Linked DNA regions of Drosophila melanogaster. The protein of the gene in region 2 interacts with the protein of the main gene of each other region in a pairwise test. Each region holds a gene or a part of one and is shown on either strand. Other genes may lie near its edges.

Region 1 (4,577 bases), on a different chromosome or scaffold from region 2:
TTTTGCACACAAACAAACAAAATTGAAATTGAATTGAAAACTATATTTTTACGGGATGCTACAGTATTATTGCAATTTAATCGATAATCCCCAAGCCGCAAAAAACTAAAAACAAAAAGATGTCCAAATATTGGTGATTTACGAGTAAAGTGAATAAAATTAGAAAAACCACCAACATATATATATATATATATATATATAGTTCCCACTTTCCAACTTTTTGATCGGGTTTTCAGTGGCACAGCATTTCAGCATCCATGTGAAAAGTTGAATATTTTTTTGTCTAGCCCTAAGCGCGTAAATGATATTTGAACTTAAATCAATTATGTAAAGAAGCAAATGAAATATTGTATATCGTATATATATATATATATATATATATATAGAGCATAAATGTGTATGTCAACGCTTGAATTAAAAAATGACTAGCTAAGATTAGAGAGAATGTTTGTAATTTTTTTTTTTTGTCTGCCTAGTTTAGGTTTAAGCCTATTTATAGACGTAAATGAAGAATTTTAAAGGTAAAAAGAAAAACTTAAAAAGCTTAGAAACAATTTGTAAAACATTTGAGCGATCTACCAAAAAAAAAAAAAACGCAATTAAGTGTAAAGCGTTCAATTTTTAACACGAAATGCTGCCTTATGATTCCTCGTTGGGTTCTTAATTCACTAAGCCAATACTGTAATTAATTAACTAATTTATTGTTTCATATTTTATTTTTTGTTTCTTTCGAGAATATACATATGTATGTATTTATCTAAAGTAATTCTGAAAATGCTTAAAAATAATGCCCGTTCGTTTAAACTGATTTATACACTCGAATCTAATTCTATTCTTTCCGTGGGCCAATTGCGCCGAGCTTTTTAACTGGGATAGCGTTCCGAAAATCGGAGATAAGTATGGTGTTACATATTTTTTTTTGTTTTCGATAATTGTCAAACGATTCAATTAAGCGTTCAATTATATAGACGTTACACACGAAACGAAATGAAATTCAAATGAAATCCTATTAAGCCAAGTAAAGTATGATAATTGCAGGAAGCGGAGTTGCGAAAAAAAAAGGTACGGAAAATGAAAACTAAGAACGTATTGCGGGAAAACCTAACTTAAGTCGAGAACAACTCAAATTAGTTGAAATAAAGATACGAGAACAAAAGGAAAATAAAATACTTAAAAAATGCTACAAGTGCGTTTTTCAATCAAATTTATGCACATTTTTTTCCAGTGCCTACGAATTTTACATTGTCGAATTTTACATTATACATAGCGTAATTTCTACGAATCTTACATTGTCGAATTTTACATTTTACATAGCGTAATTTCTACATACCGCTATGACGGCACTAAAGCGCCATTCGGCGAAATGGGGAAACTACTCATGCAAGCGGCTCGGAGCCCGGCTAACGTTATTTGTTCACCAACCGATCTCGCAACGCTGCGAAAGAGCGCGCTGCCAAAATGGCTCCCCGCCATACGGTATCTTTTTCTTGCACCGACGCGGTCACACTGCCGATTTGAAACAGATCGCTTTTTTCCAGTGGACGAAACGGTTGTGAAAGCGGACGAGCGTTAGGCAGACGAACCTGGAAAGCGCAGAGCACAGTTCTCAACATTTATTTTTTTTTTGAATGTGTGTGCAACAACGCACGTAAAATCGCGCTGCCAACAGGATATACAAACAAATCAATTACACAGCAAGCAAATGCAATGAAATGAAAAGGATGGCCCCAGCGGGAAAGCCGTTCAGCAAGAGCAAGGAGTGCCTGTCGCAGGGATAGCAACGAGAGAGCGACACAGAGAGCGAGAGAGAGAGAGGGAGAGAAACAAGGATTTTCGAAAAGTGTATCTACCTCGAGTCGCGCGTGTGTGAGAGTGAGACGAAAGCCGAGTGCAAGAAGCGCAAGAGGAAGAGAGCAATACGCAAGCGTGCGGCGTCGGTTTGAATTTGAATTTGTGGCTCGATCCTCGCGAAGAGAAAAGCAAGCAAAAGATACACGAAAAGCGTTCTTTTTTTGCCACTTTTTTTTTATGTTTCAAAACGGAAAATGTCGCCGTCGTCGGGAGAGTGCCTCCTCTTAGTTTATCAAATAAAGCTTTAAAGTCTGAAGTTCAAAACTATAAAAAACAAAAAAAAAAACAAAAAAACAACAAACGCGCTAAAACAAAAAATTGCTTAAACTACTGAGACTAGCATACTAAACCTAAACTCGCAGTTAAACATATCCTCAAAGAGAGACCAAAGAGGAGCGCTAAAGAAACCGAGAAGCGAGTAGAGGTGAAAAACTGGAAAAGTGGTTAACTGGAAAACTGGATTACAATGCAATCGCAGCGCAGCCGACGTCGCAGTCGCGCACCAAACACTTGGATTTGTTTTTGGATTAACAAAATGCACGCCGTTGCGTCGCTGCCGGCGTCGCTGCCTCTGCTGCTGTTGACGCTGGCGTTTGCGAATTTGCCAAACACCGTTCGCGGAACTGGTGAGTAAAGCGGAGACGCCGATCAGAACAACTAGGCGGGGGGAGGGCAGGGTGACAGGCGGGGTCGCCCGAAAATAGGGTGGGTGCACAAACTGGAATTCCAGGAGGCTCAAAACGTTCCAAAACGCTTGCCAAAGAACGGTTTTTTACAGAACCAAAACTATGAGATAAGATGATCTTGTATAGCTGAAAGATGTGGATCTCAACTAATAGTACTGAATCGCATAATTGTTTGGTCTTAGATGTCAGTTTTAAATGGAGCATACTTAGTATGAAACAACTAAAATTGCAATTACAAAATATACATACATTTGCATTGGACTAGTTCCGCTTAAACCCGTTGGATAGATCGCTACATTGCATAGCTAGGAAATGTTGGTCTATAAAATCGGATGCATTCGCAACACATATAAGTGACTGAGCAAACCCATGCAACTGTAATCCAAAAAGGAAGTGATGCTACTTAATCTGCTTAATAAGCCTATAGGATTGTTGCAAATCCTACCTTAAAGAATTTCACTTTAAACGCAATCGTCGGAATCCGCTCCCAAATGCGTTCTCTGTGTTTCTCCATTCCCTTTTCGATCCTCTTCGTTTGTCTCCCTTTTGGGCAGCTCCTCTTCGCTCTTCGCCTTCCTTTTCATGGCTTGTATTCACCGCGCTTCCTTTTGCGCTGTCTTCCTTGGCTTCGCTTTGTTGTCGCTTTTCGGACAGGTGGTCGTTTTTTTTTCCTCTCTCTTTCTCTCTCTCTCTCTCCTTGTTGTCTCGCTGATCTCGTTCTCGCTCTCGCTCGATCGCTGTCGCTGTCTCGCTCTCCGCCGACTGCGCATGCTCTCTCAGATTTGGAAACCCACCTTTTCGAAACAAGAAAGACCGTTTTTACCGTCGGCAAAAGGCGAGTTTTTCCATTCCCCTAGCACTCTAGGCACTCTTTCCTTTGTGTTTTCTCACTGCGCTATTTGCTCGCTAGTAGTGAGTGGCCAACTTCCTTTCCAGCTTTGGAAGCGAACTCTCCTCCTCCACACGCTGTGTTGTGCCGCATGCACATGGGGCTTACTTGGGTATTTGCATATGGAGCGGTCGTTGTCTAATCACTGAACAAACACCGAATCGTATCGGATCGGATCGGATCGGTTGTAGGTGTACTTAGGGTCGATTGCCCCAGTAAAATGTCAACTTTCCATGGAACTCGAAATCTCTTCGACGGAATTCTCGGCTCAACGATGAGAAAGTATGGGGAATGCAGCTCGATATCATAGTATTTTGAAACAAATTTGATAATGTCAGAGAATTTTTTGTTGTTTCATTATTCGAAAATCTATCGAAATCCATCAATCCATCAAACGTTTAAAAGCAATTAAATGATCATTACTAGAAATTTGATCCCTGAGCACTGGGCAACTTTATTATTACGCACTCCATGATCTCTGCTATTTTTTTTATATTTTTTAACAGCTGCAACCGAAGAGCGTTGAACTATTATGTTTATAACTTTTACCTGGGCATTTCCTGAGCTCGAGTTTCCGCCTCCTAAACTCTTTTTTTTTCTGGCTTTATTAGCCATGGGTAATCGTGTGATCTTTGCAGTTTTAGCCAAAGGAAGTTGTAGTAAAAGTTAAATAAACGGTATAAAAAAGTATACAAATGCATATGCATATAAAGGTGAAAAAAATGCTGAAAGTAGTAATAATAAGAGTGTTAATTGATGCCAGGATATATTGCAAAAACAAAAAGGGCATCCTTTGCATTCAGTTCACTTCATTCTACTACTGCGCTAAGAAAAAAGTGTTCGAAGATGGAAAAAAAAAACCAAAAAAAAAAACAAAAATCTCTCGAATCTTCATGTACATTTTTGTACCTATTAAGTTCTCACAAATTTACGCCCCATTAGCTCCAATCCAAGTTTGTTCAACTTTGTGCGATCGAACGCCTGCATTTAGCCACAAATTTAGGGTATTATTTTTTTGCAGGTTTAATGTGGCACGTAACGGTTTCGAGAAACGAGAACCAGAACCAACCACCGCATTCGATTTCATCATATATGTACACAACCAGGCGCATATAGAAAGAATGTAGTTGGAATAAACGACAGCTGGGCTC
Region 2 (4,931 bases):
GCTCGCGAAAGGCAAGATTGTCGCGAAACTGACGATTCACATCGGCATCGATTTGTCGCGTCTCCGTGGAGTACTTCCTGGCCAGCTGCAGCATTCGGAGGTAGACGCCAGCATTGTTGTTTATCGATTGCTGGATGTCGAGCAGCTTATTCCAGGCCACCATACGCACGCGATCCGGTATGCCCTTGTAGACGCGCTTGTGCAGCTTATCCTGGGGCGGCGGCCACTGATTTAGCATCTTCATCCACTTTTTGTCCCGCTCCATTTCAATCTTGTTGCGATGCACCTCCTGGGCATCACGCGTCGACGGCAGCCGCGAGTCGTGCAAGAAGCCATATCTGTGGGAGCATCAATGGCATTATTGGGATTTTTTCTGGCGAATGATTAATATTACTCACTTGTCTGTCCTGTGGTAGATCTCGAAGGTGGGATTCTCCCAGGAGTCCACCACATTGCTGGGATCCAGCCCGAGTTCGTAGCGCCGGAAGATGTCCTCGCGCTCGTCCTCGGCCCGCTTGACCAGCGCCTCCTGCTGTTCGCCGTCAGTCATTTGGAGCAGGATCAGGATTTGGCGGGTGGGGGAGGGGATCGGGGACAGGAGCAGGAGCCGGATCCGGAGGAGCAAGTGGCCAGAGCTGGTTTCTCTGTGCTCTCAGTTGGGGAGCGGCTGCTTCTGAGCTGACTGGGCGATAGCGCGAAACTTTGATAAAAAAAAAATGGAATGGAAAAAATAACACACAAAAGCATTAACATGCGAAAGCGATCCACAATAACAACACTCGTATACTATATAGCTGATGAGCGAATGACGCACACGAACATTAACTATTGTATATATATATATATATATTCAAATGCAGTGAAATCAACATGATCTTTGTTTTTGGAGAAGGAGCGTGGCATAAATGACGTGATGTTTCACCCATATTTAGTGCAGCATCAAAACATAAAGCCATATAAGACTTGGTCACTGATCTAGAAAAACGCCCCCTGATCTGCGTTGTGTGAGTGTGAGTGGGCCAGAAATGTGTGGATCTGCATGCGCCCCCGGGTTTTTGTCGCCTATTTTAATGCGAAATGTGCAATCTTATGCTTTATCGTTCGTACACTTCCTGTTTTCGCTGCGATTTGTTGTATTTTGTCAACACAGACACATACGCACACACGTAACACACACACACACAGACGCTCCGACGAAAGAGAGTGTTCTGGCTTTCACTGGCCACTCTCTCCGCGTTCCTATGGTTGAGTTTAATTAATCGCGCCGACGTTCGTTTACCATTTAATTTTGAATTGCCAATTCTTATTATCCGCACTGATCGGTTATGTTTGGTAACTAGTTTTTCACTATTTTATCTCGGCTGCATGTTTCCGATACATTTGGGGGGCGACTGAGTGTGTGTGAGGGCCAGAGTTGCCAGACTGATGTAATTGCCGAATAACGTAACGTAACAAGAGTACCAGGGATGCGAGCCAATATTTAAGCGATACTTTAGCGTAATGTTATACGAGTTTAAATTTTAGTTGAAATGTTTGTGATGTCAATGTACAAATATGTAAAATGTTTATCTATTTAAAGCTGCAAATGAATGCTCATTTATAAATATTTAACAATGATATTTATTTACTTATTATTTAAAACCTATTCAGTTACTTAATTGCGACAAGTGGCACTTAATGAATTAAAACATTTGTGGAAAACATTTTCACTTCAAAATTTATTTCTTGATAACAAAATCGGCTTTTTAATTCAAATATAATTTTTGTGACTAAATAAGCAGTGCTGCCATACATTCAACTGGAAAACATCGTCAGCAACAGAAGGATAAGTAATCGCTTGATCGATAGCGTTATCGATGTTTTCCCAGCCATCGTTCCACCACTAGCGCCTCTCAAAACAACAAAAAAACAGCGGCAGTCGGACGCGGTTTTTATCATCGAGCGCGGTTTCTTTGTTTTAGCGCTCGAAAATTGTCGAGAACTCTCGTAAAAAATACACTGTACCAAATAACTAAGGAGTGCATGCTAATTGAACAAGCAAATGAATTAAGGTGTATATCAAAGTGAAAAGAAGTCAAACATAACCGATTTTGTTGGCGGCTTTCTTTTATTTTTGTTGAGATACCGTGTTTAATTTCTCCAGTTTTATGCAAACACATGAATAACATAACAGTGGAAATTTCTAAGAGTGCATTGTGAGATAAAAGTAAGCAAATAATTAATATTATGTTTAACATAAAATGCAACCCTCAACAGCGTCCTTTTTAAAGGTGTGCGTTTATATATATATATATATATATATATATATATATATATGTGTGTTTGTGTGTGCGTGTGAGTGATTGTGGATTTTGTGATGCAAAAGAAAATTGCCGCGTGTAAATTTTTGATTTTCAATTCGAGACGAGCAGAGGATTTTTAAACTGCAGCTCTAGCATTTACCGTTAGGGCAAGAGTAAACACATTCAACATGTTGCAGTCACTAAAAACTAAAACAAAAGCAAAGCGGATCACTCTCTTTCTCATTCTCTCATTCGCTCTCTTTGAGTTATAAGTGTTTTTGCCGTGTTTTGTTTTGATTTTTGCACATACACGAAGACATCGAGAGAGGAGAGCGGAGAGTTTCTGCTCTTTTGATTGTTGTTGCATTGGCCAGCTAATAAAATTGTGCCGTTCTTGTTGTTGTTGCAGTTGGATTAAAATTCAAAGCATTGGATAAATGCTAAGTTGAAATAACAACAGTAATAACAAATGGAAAATAGCAAATAGCAAATCAAAGGAAATCAAAATCAAGTTGGATTATCAGCACAGCTTCTGGGTAAGTAAGTTAAGTCTCTTATCGCCTAATTAGTTTATAGCGTTTTAGTTTCGTGTGGGTGGCTTTTTGCATTTCAAAACCAGTTCTATTTCGGGTTTTCATATGCCTTTTTTTCTCTTCTCATGTTGATAAGACCTTGAAGCGCTTTTCGTGTAGAACTTCGCATGATTGATGTTTTTATGTTTGAGGGGAGCTTGAGTCAAAGCTCGGCTTTTAAAAATGGATCAAGACCAGTTTTTCGAGGCTTTGGAATTGCCAAATAATTTCCTAAGCCCAAACTGCAGTTTGTTGTGGTTGTTGCTATTGCTTTTGCTTGCATCGCCTAGAAAATGATGGATGCACACACCTCTCGCTCTACCCTTGCCGTCCCTTTCGCACATCCAGAAGTTGTCGGTTGAGTTTTTATGGCCGTCTCTTTTGTCTCTCCATTTATTTGCCTTTGTCTTTGGACTGATGACTTTGTTTTTGCCCTGTCTTTGATTCTTTCTTTCTCTCTCTCTGCTTCTTCTTCAACGTTGATCCTTTGATTTCGTTTGATCCTTGTAGGTAGAAAAGATTGAGTGTGGGAGAGATCTACCGTTGTTTCGTTACTTCAATCTATAAGATACTAGAATTTTCTTTTTTAAAACCAATTCGAGAAATATTTCAATATATATTTTTGGGGAAAGAAGAATTTTAATTCTTTCGAATATTAAAGAGTTTTTTAAGATTGATTTATAAATTTCTTTTGGATCTTATTATTTGTATTTTGTATACGAAACATTCCATCTTATATTATTATCGTTAGTTTTTTGTAACTCCAAAAATCAAAATAAATATTCAAATAAAGAATTCTGTATTGCCTTTTGTTTTAATGCCATTATGCAATATATGCATTTATTGCTTAAATATTTTTAAAATTATTAACAGCATTCAGCTTATGTCTTTTGAACATTCTCCTTACCAATATCAGATGCATTCCAACCGAAATGCGACGAAGGGCATGCATTTAAACACAATACCTGGCATACTCGACATTTTAAATGCTTTTCATCACTTGATAAACAGTATTATTTGCCTTTCCTTTTTTTTTTTTTACATACATGTATCTCCCTCTGTTCGCCGCCGTTTGTTTTGCCCCCGTCTTCGCATATGTACGTCTTCGAGTGGTCTAACATGTAATGTATGCCTCGTCTTTAGTTTCTTGTTCGTTTCGTCTTTGAGACACCGGAAGTTGTTGCTAGGCTGAAAAAGTTGTGTGTGTTTTTCAGCAGTGTCTCCAGCTGTATCTTTATCTCCCTCTGGAGCCGTATATCCATCTCTATCGACGAGCAAGTGGCGCGTGTGAATGACCCAATTAAGCTGAAGATAACCCGGCCTAAGCTTCGACTTCGTAGGTGGCTTAAAACAACTCGGTTGGCCAAGAAGAAGCAGCCCCAGAACCTGCCAGACGAACATACCTACTATGGCACAACAAAAAAGAGTTCACATCGAATATATCGAATGCGAAGTTTGAACTGTAAACAGGTTTACTTGGCCTCACCTCGCTTCGTCTGCTGCAGTTGGCTGCTACAGGTTTGCCTCCGTATCGCGAACTGCGCGCCATGGAATTTCCTGTATTCATTCATTTTTGAATCCATATAACATAAGCCTTATTTCACTTAAGTTAAAAAACTACAATAAGAAGAAAATAAATGCATACCATTTCAATCTTAAAATTCTTGAAATAAAAAAAATTTCATTCCGGGTGTGAATTTGTGGATTTGATTAAATAAAAAATAACTGTAGTATATATATGTTGATGTTGAAATTTTTAAAAGCTCCTCCATTACTTTCTCCATTTAAGAAACAGGGTAATGTTTTTCTAAGGTCAGCTTATGCAAAGAATAACATATGCAGTAATCCCAGTTTAAGTTATCAACATTTCACTGTACATGGTTTAGTGTGGTGCTTTATTTTGTCAGGCCAAACTCCTTTTCAACATTTTTGTATTAAATATTTCGCACCATGTTCTGCATTTATTCGGATACGAGAGATCTCCCGAGGCTCCAGTCTTCAACTCCATCTCCTTCTGTGCGTCTGCCATCTCTGTTCGACGCTCTAATGCCGTCCTTTTCTGTGGCATATTTTGTCG

The links.
Region 1: the proteins of mam (region 2) and N interact in a two-hybrid assay, tested with the Drosophila melanogaster proteins (5 studies listed by BioGRID).

Annotation. Positions count from the first base shown.
Region 1 is NC_004354.4:3,133,351-3,137,927, forward strand, and holds the start of N (notch), read left to right. Parts: upstream 1-1,519; 5' UTR 1,520-2,317; coding exon 2,318-2,477; intron 2,478-4,577. UniProt on the Drosophila melanogaster protein: Essential signaling protein which has a major role in many developmental processes. Functions as a receptor for membrane-bound ligands Delta and Serrate to regulate cell-fate determination.
Region 2 is NT_033778.4:13,989,287-13,994,217, forward strand, and holds the start of mam (mastermind), read left to right. Parts: upstream 1-1,916; 5' UTR 1,917-2,206; intron 2,207-2,691; 5' UTR 2,692-2,818; intron 2,819-4,931. Other genes in the region: RN-tre (uncharacterized protein), read right to left, coding at 1-338, 399-550.